Linked DNA regions of Neurospora crassa OR74A. The protein of the gene in region 2 purifies or fractionates together with the protein of the main gene of each other region. This does not show direct contact. Links are inferred from orthologs where the notes say so. Each region holds a gene or a part of one and is shown on either strand. Other genes may lie near its edges. The genes, in order: acp-1, hsp78 and NCU00395.

Region 1 (3,824 bases), on a different chromosome or scaffold from region 2:
TTCGAAAAGGGTCCCATCTCCCCCCGCTTCCGCGGCGAGCACGCCCTTCGTCGTTACCCGTCGGGCGAAGAACGCTGCATCGCCTGCAAGCTCTGCGAGGCCGTCTGCCCTGCTCAGGCCATCACCATCGAAGCTGAAGAGCGTGCCGATGGAAGCAGAAGGACGACCCGCTACGATATCGACATGACCAAGTGCATTTACTGCGGATTCTGCCAGGAGAGCTGTCCCGTGGATGCGATTGTGGAGAGTCCCAATGCGGAGTACGCAACGGAGACGAGGGAGGAGTTGTTGTATAACAAGGGTGAGTTCTTTTCTGGGGGATGCCGTGATAACCTGGTGCTGGCTGGAGATAGGTTCTTGCTGTCGGGGGGCCAGGAAAATATGACATGTGCTGACAACAGATACAGAAAAGCTACTCTCTAACGGAGACAAGTGGGAGCCTGAGCTTGCGGCTGCTATTCGCGCCGATTCACCTTACAGATAAAGGGGTTGTGGCTTGAAGACCGGATAACAGGACGGACAATGAAGACAGAGATTCTTTTTTTCGTTGTTGCTATGCTAGAGTTTCGGAACCAGCAGTTTCGGACGGGTTGCGGTATCAACAGGACGCACCATTGTGTTATAGAAGGCAGGCAGGCAGGCAGGCGGACAGGCAAAAGAAGGCTGTAGATACATTTGTGAATTGCGTCCCTCATCCAACTTCTTGTCTTTTTGAAAGTCATCTCGCCAGGGAAGATCCTATATGCGGCCAAAGGGACGCATCAAGAAACCTAAAGATGCTTGAAAGGCTGAATGTACAATTAGTGTACGGTACCATCTGTAAGATACAAGCTGTATCGTGATGAACTCCATCCCATCGTATCCATCAACCGGGATTACCCGTCTAACAGACGAGTGGAGTGATCCTGCCCGTGGGGTGTTAGTGGAGTATCTGCTTGACACATTTCTCCGCAGTGTACAAGACGGTACCTGAGCGACCTGCACGTGACTCGGCTGACGAGTAGCAGAACGAGCTGAAGCTTCCATGGCTGCAGTTGCGGGGGAGCATCGAGGTTGTACGTACCAAGGTACCTCCACACGCTGAAGCTCCAGAGTCAGAGGCGGGTTTGTTAGCTTCGTTGGCCGCCGCCGCCCGCAGTTGCCCGCACCCGCTTCCCGCGCCCCCGGCGTACCATAGGCAGTAGGCGAGAAATTTATCATCATCATCGCTGATTCCAGCCAACCACCGCCCAGAAATCCGCTTCCAGCCAGAGAAACCCGCAACAACCTCGTCCGAGAACCACCGAGTAGTAGCGTCACACTCATTTTCGGCCACAGCCTTTCCTGTCACCACCACCGACCCTCAAACACCCGACCGACCCGCGCAATTGACACTTTCCGCGACAGCCCACCCAAACAAAACAAAAAATGTTCCGCACCGCCGCCCTCACTGCCGCCCGCGTGGCCCGTCCCGCCGTCGCCTCCGCCGTCCGCGCTGGTGTTGCCCGTCCTGCTTTTGTCCAGGCCGTCCCCAAGGTCGCTGCCTTCCAGGCTGTCCGGTTTTACAGCGCCGGTGGTCATCTCAAGAAGGATGAGGTCTTTAGCAGGATTGCGCAGGTGTTGAGTGGATTTGACAAGGTGCGTTTTACATCACAAGAGACCTACCCGACACGACATGCATACAAACTTCGAGCAGGAGGATGAGGAGGAGGAGCAGAAGAAAGGAAGGAGATAAGAAAGAGGTGTGAAGAGGCAGAGGGATACGAGTGGTCTAGGGACATACGCTACGCGAAGACAAGAGGAGAGAGCGTGCGGGGGAGCATCATCATCGCAAGCAAACCAGCCGGACAACAGAACACAAACGGAGGAAGACCAAAAAGATGCGAAGAGCATATCAAGGCTGCGCAGACGCGACAAAACGAGATGGAATACGATGAAGAGCACTGCGTGCTCCACACGCTGCGCCATGGTCGGATTTATCGGGAACTTGGGAGCTCTTCGAATGGGTCTGCCCTGCCGGCTGGGCTGGTTCTGCTCCGATGATGATGCTCTCCCCTCGCTTTTTTGCCCTCCTCCTCTTGCTATCTTGCTGGTCAACTTCTTGTCTCTTGCTCTTCTTTCTTCCTTACCTCGGCTGGATCTCCCCTCTCCTCCAGCCTCTTCTTCAGAAGCCACAACAGTCCCGTGTTCGCAACCTTTTTCCAGGCCCAAGCTAACATCTACTTTCCAGGTCAACGACCCCAAGAACGTAAGTACAGACGCAAACACCAACATTTCCTCCTCACCGTCACGGAGACGAACTATGATGTGATTTTTGGTCATGATGGGTCAATCCCAGTGCCCTGGTGCTCCCGGCCTGACAGTCTGGAAGGAGAGACGAGACGGGCAAACCGCAAGAATAGATGCAATGGAACGAGACCAAAGATACAGGGATGAGAGATTCTGACACAAGTTTGCGCATCACAGATCACCGAGACCGCCCACTTCGCCAACGACCTCGGTCTTGACAGCTTGGACACCGTTGAGGTTGTTATGGCTATTGAGGAGGTATGTTGCTCCCTTTTTTTTTCTTTTTATTCCGGGCCCTTGTCATATTCCCTTTTCGGCCCAAGCTCAGCCTCTTATCACAATCACCCTTCAACCCAAACACAGTCATAGCACATGGACGCCAAACACGATGCTAACAAACCTACCCGCAACAGGAGTTCTCCATCGAGATCCCCGACAAGGACGCCGACCAGATCCACTCGGTCGACAAGGCCGTCGAGTACATCCTCAGCCAGCCCGATGCCAACTAAAAAAAGTCCTCTGTTTCGTTCCTTGTTCGAGCGTTTTAGAAACCCCACTACTTGCGCAAATATAAAGCATACTTCTTCTCCCTACCTACCCACCTTACCTTTTCACCTCTATCTTTATCCTTAACTAGGTCGATTCGAAACATATCTTTGTCATTGTTTGGGATTCGATTCGATCTGTGTACCATACGAAAACTTAGAACCTGAATGAAAGAAGAGATGACGAATGGAATGGAGCATCGTGATGGGTACGGGCTAGATGTGAATTGTGGGCAGGTCGGACTTGGTCTTGATGTTGTTATCATTGTCAGAGTGGTTAGTCTGGGTTGGTCAACGCGGCGACACGTTGCAATGTTTGGTGGTCACTAAAGTGGTATTGTGGCAGGCTCAATATAGCGTTGGTGTCAACTCTTGTGCTGTTGCGTTGTGTTTTGTTTGTCGCCTATATCCGTACCTACACACTACTTACATACCCCCCCCCCCCCCCTTTCAGGTAAAGAGAACAATCATGACTGGAGCGCACTCAACTTGAAGGCCTGGGTTTATATGTCTTCCTGTCTGATCACTGCTCAGTTCAACAAACACAGACCAGTACCTGAATCGAGCGAAGTTGGCGAACCAGGAGAAACCATCTGACTGGGTATCTAGATGTATCTACCTTTAAACTGAATAGATACGTGGTATTTCTCAAGAGAAAATGTCAACTTTGTTGCGTGACCAAGTGAAGAAGATGTGACCGACGAGAGATCCTTGATACTACGACGGAGTATGTCTGGTCCTTTAAATGTCCCACTTCAATATTTAGATCGCGGCATGAAGATACCTACCTTAAGGTATGCATGTATTCACCACCACCTCAGAAACTTGCCCTCAAGATCACGTAAAGCCAGAATTGTTCGGTACCTACCTCAAGCTAAAACTGGGCTCCGTACCAACCGATATTCTTTCCTTTATTTTCCTCTTCGTCTTGTTTTCTTTCTATCTTTTATTTTTTATATATTTTACAAATTTTTTTTTTAATTCTTTTTTTCTCTCTCTTTGTTTAGGAGG
Region 2 (3,600 bases):
AACGTCCTGTTTCCCGAACCATAAACTATGCAATGTAACATAAGAGGAGAACCAGTAACAAATGAGAGATACAATAAAGATACAACTGCTCGCCATCAACCTGGGATCAGATTAGCAGCAGCGGGCCACTTCATGCCTCAAGAGCAGTCTAAGCCTCAGCCTCAGCCTCCTCGGCAGCCGGAGGCTGCTCCTGCTGCTCCGCGTAGACATTCAGTCCGCTCCTGTCCTCCTTGATTTCCACCACCGCCTTATCGCCCGACTTGATCTGTCCACGAATGATCTTATCCGCAAGCCCATTTCCAATCTCGGTGGTGATGAGCCTGTTGAGCGGCCTCGCGCCAAACTTGGGATCATATCCCCTCTCAGCCAGCCACTGGCGGACCTCTTCGGGAACGTCGAGGGTGATGCGGCGATCGTTGAGTCGCTCCTGGAGCTCCTTCAGGCGGATGTCAACAATGTCCCTGAGCGCCTCCATAGCGAGACGCTTGAAGATGATAAAGGAGTCGATGCGGTTAAGGAACTCGGGCGGGTACTGGGATGCGACGACGTCCATGACGGCCTGCTTGACGTCTGGGTGGATGTCACCGTCTTCCGTCTCCTTGTAGGGGACCATGGGGTTGGCTCCAACCAGGATGTCGGCACCGAGGTTGGAGGTGAGCACGATGATGGTGTTCTTGAAGTCAACCTTGTGGCCCTGGGCGTCGGTCAGGTAGCCCTCATCGAGGACCTGAAGGAGCAGGGCCGAGATGTCTCTGTGCGCCTTTTCGAACTCGTCGAGAAGGATGACGGCGTAGGGCTTGCGGCGGACGGCCTCGGTCAGCTGGCCGGCGTCTTCGTAGCCGACGTAGCCGGAGGGAGCACCGATCAGGCGCGAGATGGTGTGCTTTTCTTGGAACTCGCTCATGTCAAAGCGAACAACGGCGGTCTCGGTCGAGAAGAGGAAGCCTGCGAGCTTCTTGCACAGCTCTGTCTTGCCGACGCCGGTGGGTCCGAGGAAGAAAAAGGAGGCCAGTGGGCGGTTCTCGCCGCTCAAGCCGGCTCTTTGCATTCGCACTGCGTCGGCAACCGCCTTCAGGGCCTCGTCTTGACCGCGGACAGACTCGCGGAGGATGTCTTCCATGTGAATCAGTCTCTCCGTGTGGCCGCTGGACAACTTGGAGATGGGAATGCCAGTGATCCTGGAGACGACGTTGGCAATGTCGTCAGCGGTGACCGAGTCATGGATGAGAGAGAGATCACGGGTAGGTCTTTCGCCGTCCTTGGGTAGCTTCTTTTCCAGGTTTGGAATGACGCCAAATCTCAATTCCGAGGCCCTGGCAAAGTTTCCGGTTCGCTGTGCTTGCTCCAACTCAATGCGGGCTCTGTCGAGCTCTGCCTGGGTTTGCTTGATGCTGTCGATTTCGGCCTTTTCCTTCAGCCACCTTTCCGTCAGTACGGCGACTTCATCTTGATACTTCTTCAGGTCAGCCTCGAGCTTCTCGCGGCGCTCGACGCTGGCAACGTCCTTCTCCTTTCGTAAACTTTCCAGCTCAATCTGAATGGTCATGATCTTCTGGTCCAAGCGCTGGATATCGTCGGGCTTGCTTTCTTGCTGTAGGCGAAGCGAGCTGGCGGCTTCGTCCATCAAGTCGATGGCCTTATCGGGAAGGAAACGGTCGGTGATGTAACGGTTGGAATAGGTAGCGGCAGCAACCAGTGCTCCGTCAGTGATACGGACGCCATGGTGAACTTCATACTTCTCCTTGATACCGCGCAGAATACTAATGGTATCCTCCACTGTCGGCTCGCTGACGATGATGGGCTGGAACCGGCGAGCGAGAGCAACATCCTTCTCGATCTGACGGTATTCAGTCATGGTGGTTGCACCACAGCACTGAAGCTCACCTCTAGAAAGAGCTGGCTTCAAGAGGTTCGACGCATCAATGGAGCCTTCGGCCTTTCCGAGGCCAAGGAGAGTATGGAGCTCATCGATGAACAGGATAACCTCTCCGTTGGCTTCTTGCACTTCGCCCAGGACCTTCTTCAGCCGCTCCTCAAAATCACCCCTAAACTTGGCTCCTGCAATAAGAGATCCGAGATCGAGACTGATGACTCTCCTGTTCTTGATACTTTCAGGCACCGCGCCCTTCACAATCTCCAGCGCAAGGCCTTCAAGAATGGCTGTCTTGCCGACACCGGCGCATCCAATGAGCACCGGGTTGTTCTTCGTTCTCCGTGACAGGATTTGGATGGTTCTCTGGATTTCCGCCGCTCTGCCGATGACCGGATCGAGCTTTCCCTCTCGTGCTTTTGCTGTTAAGTCGATACCGTATTGTTCCAATGCTGGTTTCTCGTCCTCACCCCCGAGGTTCATGCGATGGGTACCGCCTGGGGGGCGTGGTCTGCCGTTGGCATACGATCGAGTCGCTATTGTGGGAAGAAGACGAAGAGAGCTGGCTAGATGAGTGGCATTGAGTGCCGGTACGGTTACGCCCAGCGCCGGTGCCCGGGGAAACTGGCGGGTGGTTCGCGAGAGAGAGGCCCTCGACGCCTCACTGATGCGCCGAGTGGCAGTTGATAGCAATTGGCGCCTTGTTTGCATTTTGAGACTTGAGTACGTGTTTTATTTCAGGGGAACGACTAGTCTAAAATCCAACTTGAATCATTATAGAGTACTTTGAAACGAAGGGTATGTCTCTGGTTTATATGGCCTGACGTAGTGCCACTGACCGTTGACATGGATGGAGGTCGAAAGCTCTCGCAACTTCCAGTGGCACTGACGCCGTGAAGCTGGGGGAGAGCTTAGGTACCTACCTACATACAGGGCAGTACTTAGCTCCTTATCTTATCGGAGCTTCCATGTAGGTCCCGTCTTCACGATGGAGTCTTCGGTCAGTTCGGTGGGTTCCTGTGCCTGGTCTGTGCACTGTCTGTATTTAATGGCCAGGAAATTTTTCGCTGTGTGAAATTCTCCCCGTTTTGGTTCTTCGTGTGCAACCGCCGCGTTTGAACAGCGCCATTGTGGGAGACATCAGAGAGAATGGCTCCAAATTGCTAAAAGCTGGCAATGCCAGAAGTACGCCGCGTCGGTGTCTGTCATTAGTGTAAGTTCTAGCACCTTGTTTGATATTCTCCTTCCCTACTCCTCCGTTACCGGTACTCCCACGCCCATCCCGTGATGATCGAATTGGTCCGTGTTACCAAGCAGACTTAAGACCTCTGCAGATGACGACGAAACCAGCATTTATGCGACTCTGACCCTTTTGGCATCTCATTCAACTTGGAATATTGCTTCTTTTTCGCAGCTCTTGAGCTAACTCATGAATCGTAGTTGTTGTATCTTTGCGCATGCCGAGTGCTTGTCCAATGGAGCAGCCCATCTGAAGTTGGAATTTGGCAACCCTACGGAGCCTAGTGTAGTCTTTCCTCGTCACCATTACCGATTGTCCGGTGCGTTATGGGCGGGTGGGAGTATCAAGGTGGTCCGAGAAGGTTGCTGGTTTCAACAGTTGATAGATTATATCGTGTTTGCTTAGCAATAGTTTATTGAATATTTCTTAACTGTTCAAGGGCTTAATGCTAGTAACTTTTGGACGTAGGGGCATGTAGAATGTGTGCACC
Region 3 (3,824 bases), on a different chromosome or scaffold from region 2:
GTCGTCGAGCTTCCCCTGAATGAATGTCAACAAAGCACACACCTTTGACTTACGCAGCTAAGGCGGCACCGCATCCTCGACCGCTTTTAAATTCCTTTAACTCTAGTCAAGTCGGTGCGAGTCATCTTCCAGCATGTGGGTAGTTTTCGTTTCTTACCAAGGATACACACTGCTGCTGGCAGGTTAGGAATCTCCACGCCTGAAGTTTGTTATCGTTGCACTTCGCTTGACAAACGTTGACCGAAATTTACTGCGCGGTGCAAGGTGTTGCGTGAGACGGACAAAAAGTGCTTGAAAAAAAAAAACCGTCTGTCGTCGATGAGGCTCAAGCTGTCATCACCCTTGCCACAGCAGACTGCCGTGACACAAGGCACTTGCTGCATGCGGCCCGAGCCTGACCGTTGCAGATCAGTGCCTCCCTAGGCCCACAACTACGAGATTATCAGACTGTGCAGTCCAAAAGATTTTGAACACACACCTTGGATCCGACATCCGTAACATCCAGCCCGTACCGTTAGAAACGGAAAAGATACCACAAAGTCTTGAAGTGTAAAAAGCCGATATGGTCGTGACAATGCGTTTGTTCGATATTCCTATTATACAGTCTGGGCTCCTAACAGCCCGGTTGCCAACACCTACTACATCTTACAGGATGCAACGACCAGCATACGCATGGCTCATCTATACAGCAATGACGTTGTCTTTGACGGTAGCCTCGTACCTAAAACAAACTCTGTTAGCTCTCGAACCGTATCTAGTTGTGCGGGGGAAAAAAATCAAGAGAGCACCAACCTCTTTCCGCGGAAGGCCCACACACCCCAGTTACCGGCACTGACGTCCTGAGGGTCAAGATCATTCAGATCCCACCGGAGACTGCGGAAGATGTTCTCGCCAGGCTCCATGAGAATGTCGAATTCACCCTTGGCCTTCTTGTTGACCCACTCGACATCACGCTCCATGTCAGCCTGCGTGTAGCCCGTAGCAATGATAGGAGCTTTGGTCTCGAGAAGCATAGGCAGCGTTTCCTCCCATTCGTGGGAGCTTGCCGGGTGGCCCAAACCAGGGTGGAAGAGGACGAAGCAGTCGAAGTAAGGATCGTGAGGAGCGAAATAACCCGTCTTGTGGATAGTATGGTAATAATCCACAATGGTGCTGATCTTCATGGTAGGCCATACGCGATCCTCCACAACCGCACCGTAAGGATTCTCGGGAGTACGAGGCGGGAGGGGAAATTCGTCATCGCGGTTCATCATGCTCTCGGGTCCGATGAAAATCAGATGGAGTCTCGACAGGGGGAAGAGATGGGCCAACTGCACCCAAGCATCTCTAGGCAGCGACGACTCAGCGCGAGCACCGAGAATAAAGACACGCACGGGGGGCGCCTCAGGCCGAAGACCCTTGATAGACTCGTTGCCTCCAGTTTTGGGAGGATGCAGGGTATAGCGAAGTGCCGTCAAACTCTTTAAGCCCTCGACCGTGAGGCGATTCCGGATGTGGTACGGGCTCAACTCGTGAAGAACGCTGCCGATCGTGAGAGGATAGGTCAACAACCTAGTCGCCTGTCTCATGCACCGGTCATCGTTGACAGCTTCGAACTGACGGGTATACATGAACGTGTCCCAGTTGGTCATGTTGACCATGGCATCATCCATTTGCGGACCGGCGTAGTTGAACTCGTAGAAGTGGCGGCCTGAATGGAGGTCATGGTCATCTTCATTGATCTGCCGCAGAGTGTCGCATATCTCGAGATGTTTCTCATAGTCGTCCATCCAATGCTGCTCGCTGCAATATACCGGGATGCCACAGTCAGGGCACTCGAAATCGACGTGCTTCGGCGGCTGGGAGCCAGACTCGGTATCGACTTGGCGGTTGGTCTCGGAGAACTGCCCTGGGCGGTGGCTATGGTGGGGGCAGCTGGCGTGCTGTCTTATGAAGGCCGCGCGCTGGCGGATCTTGGGGATGGGCGAGTTGGTGAAGGAGTGGAAGAGGTTGTCCTGCTCGAGAATCGGCTTCGAGGGGATACCACTACCGGCCAGATCCTCGTTGGTGGCAAACGATGTCGAGCTGCTGGCCTTGGTTCTGGACTGGGCAGCAACGGAAGGAAGCTTGCTTGTGATCGAAGCCTGGATCGGACGCGAAATGGTTCTGGTGATGCCGCCGACTTGCGTCGAAGACGAGGAAGAGCTCTGTGCCCCTCGGATGGAGCTGACGGAGCGTTGCTGGGCTGACTGCAAAAACGCAGCACTTTGCCTGCTCTGTCTAGCTGTGAAAGTCGAGCATTGCGAGCAAAGCTTGGACAAGGCCGGACGCACGGCGCGGTCTGCTGGGAGGGCCATTGGGAGTTCAAGAGGTCGGATGATGTTCGATCGGGAATCTGGATCGCCGGGACTCGATGCGACTTTCCAATTGACTTTTTGGCAGCAGCTCCCAGCAATCCGGGGTCCTCTCCCACCGACCCGACTCGCTACCTACCTCTACTGTGCCTAAGTGCCTAGGCGGGTCCCGTCCATCGAATGACCCACTTTGTTCTTGCTTCACCAGCCACAATTGTGCCTAGGTAAGCTCCGTCTGACGTTACGTATGCGGGTCAGAGAGCTACGAGCAAGCCACAGTCGCGAGGCGGGAAGATGAGTGGGCGGCGTCTACGACCTACCGTGGACCGAGTCCGACGTACCGCTGCAACCTGAGTGACTGGACTGCACCAATTGGCCAGAAATACCATCGACGGCAACCGACTCCATCTACCTCGCCAGAGTGCCAGAACACTGGACCGTGTTTCATTTTTTTTTGCCGTGTTACAATCATCTACTCGATATTCAACTCTAGATTTTCGACAATCTGGCTGACTTTCGCGCATTGGTCTTCTCAACATAACGACGGCAGCATTGACAGAGCACAACCGAGTCCTACCCACTTGCAAAAACAACCTCGAGAAAGCAGAGCCGCGCCGGCTGTCTGCGCCCAGTTGCAGCCATGGCGACTACGTCGAACATGTTCCTGTATTCCTTGACCATCCAGCCACCCACCGCTGTCACGCAGGCTCTGCTTGGTCAGTTCTCGGGAACCAAGGAACAGCAGATTCTTACGGCGTCTGGATCGCGTCTAACCCTCCTTCAGCCTGATCCCCGTCAGGGCAAGGTCAACACCCTGTTGTCTCATGACATCTTCGGCATCGTACGCGCCATCGCGTCGTTCCGTCTGGCCGGCAGCCACAAGGGTGAGTAACCTCCCCGCCACCTCCTGTGTTGGGCAATATAGTGATTCTGGATCCGTTCCCCAGGTGCTTCTGGGTAGAGGGGCCACACGTATGGTCACGCACCATGCACCCAGGCCTACGAGTCTTCTGGGGACTTGAGAGACTCATTCAAATCGGTAGCGGGATTGTGCTAAAACCCTGTGCCACCCAGACTACATTATCCTCGCCACTGATTCGGGCCGCATTACGATTATCGAGTATCTCCCCAAGACGAACAAGTTTCAGCGCATCCACCTCGAGACTTTCGGCAAATCGGGCGTCCGCCGAGTCATCCCCGGCCAGTACTTAGCCGCAGATCCAAAGGGAAGAGCATGCCTCATTTCGGCACTCGAAAAGAACAAGCTGGTCTATGTTCTCAACCGAAACTCACAGGCCGAGCTTACCATCTCGTCACCACTGGAAGCCCACAAGCCAGGCGTGTTGGTGCTGTCTCTTGTTGCCCTTGACGTTGGTTACGCAAACCCCGTTTTCGCTGCGTTGGAACTGGACTACACGGACGCGGACCAAGATCCTACGGGCCAAGCACGAGAAGAAGTCGAGACACAGCTGGTATATTACGAGCTTGATC

The links.
Region 1: the proteins of hsp78 (region 2) and acp-1 purify together in Saccharomyces cerevisiae (affinity purification with mass spectrometry; 3 studies listed by BioGRID, with this or other methods). This does not show direct contact. The link is inferred for Neurospora crassa OR74A from reciprocal best matches to the Saccharomyces cerevisiae genes HSP78 and ACP1.
Region 3: the proteins of hsp78 (region 2) and NCU00395 purify together in Saccharomyces cerevisiae (affinity purification with mass spectrometry, with the first as the bait; 3 studies listed by BioGRID). This does not show direct contact. The link is inferred for Neurospora crassa OR74A from reciprocal best matches to the Saccharomyces cerevisiae genes HSP78 and MSS51.

The regions. Positions count from the first base shown.
Region 1 is NC_026506.1:4,098,954-4,102,777, forward strand, and holds acp-1 (acp-1), read left to right. Parts: upstream 1-1,071; 5' UTR 1,072-1,407; coding exon 1,408-1,617; intron 1,618-2,209; coding exon 2,210-2,227; intron 2,228-2,445; coding exon 2,446-2,526; intron 2,527-2,681; coding exon 2,682-2,777; 3' UTR 2,778-3,241; downstream 3,242-3,824. Other genes in the region: nuo21.3c (NADH-quinone oxidoreductase chain I), read left to right, coding at 1-301, 408-484. UniProt on the Saccharomyces cerevisiae protein: Carrier of the growing fatty acid chain in fatty acid biosynthesis. May be involved in the synthesis of very-long-chain fatty acids.
Region 2 is NC_026501.1:2,990,264-2,993,863, forward strand, and holds the start of hsp78 (heat shock protein 78), read right to left. Parts: upstream 2,756-3,600; 5' UTR 2,582-2,755; coding exon 149-2,581; 3' UTR 1-148. UniProt on the Saccharomyces cerevisiae protein: Required, in concert with mitochondrial Hsp70 (SSC1), for the dissociation, resolubilization and refolding of aggregates of damaged proteins in the mitochondrial matrix after heat stress.
Region 3 is NC_026503.1:3,705,807-3,709,630, forward strand, and holds NCU00395 (mRNA processing protein), read right to left. Parts: upstream 2,470-3,824; 5' UTR 2,337-2,469; coding exon 793-2,336; intron 722-792; coding exon 682-721; 3' UTR 482-681; downstream 1-481. Other genes in the region: NCU00396 (pre-mRNA-splicing factor rse-1), read left to right, coding at 2,974-3,217, 3,408-3,824. UniProt on the Saccharomyces cerevisiae protein: Has a dual role in the assembly of cytochrome oxidase subunit 1 (COX1). It has a regulative function on COX1 synthesis, acting as a translational activator specific for the COX1 mRNA, and it also binds to newly synthesized COX1 protein.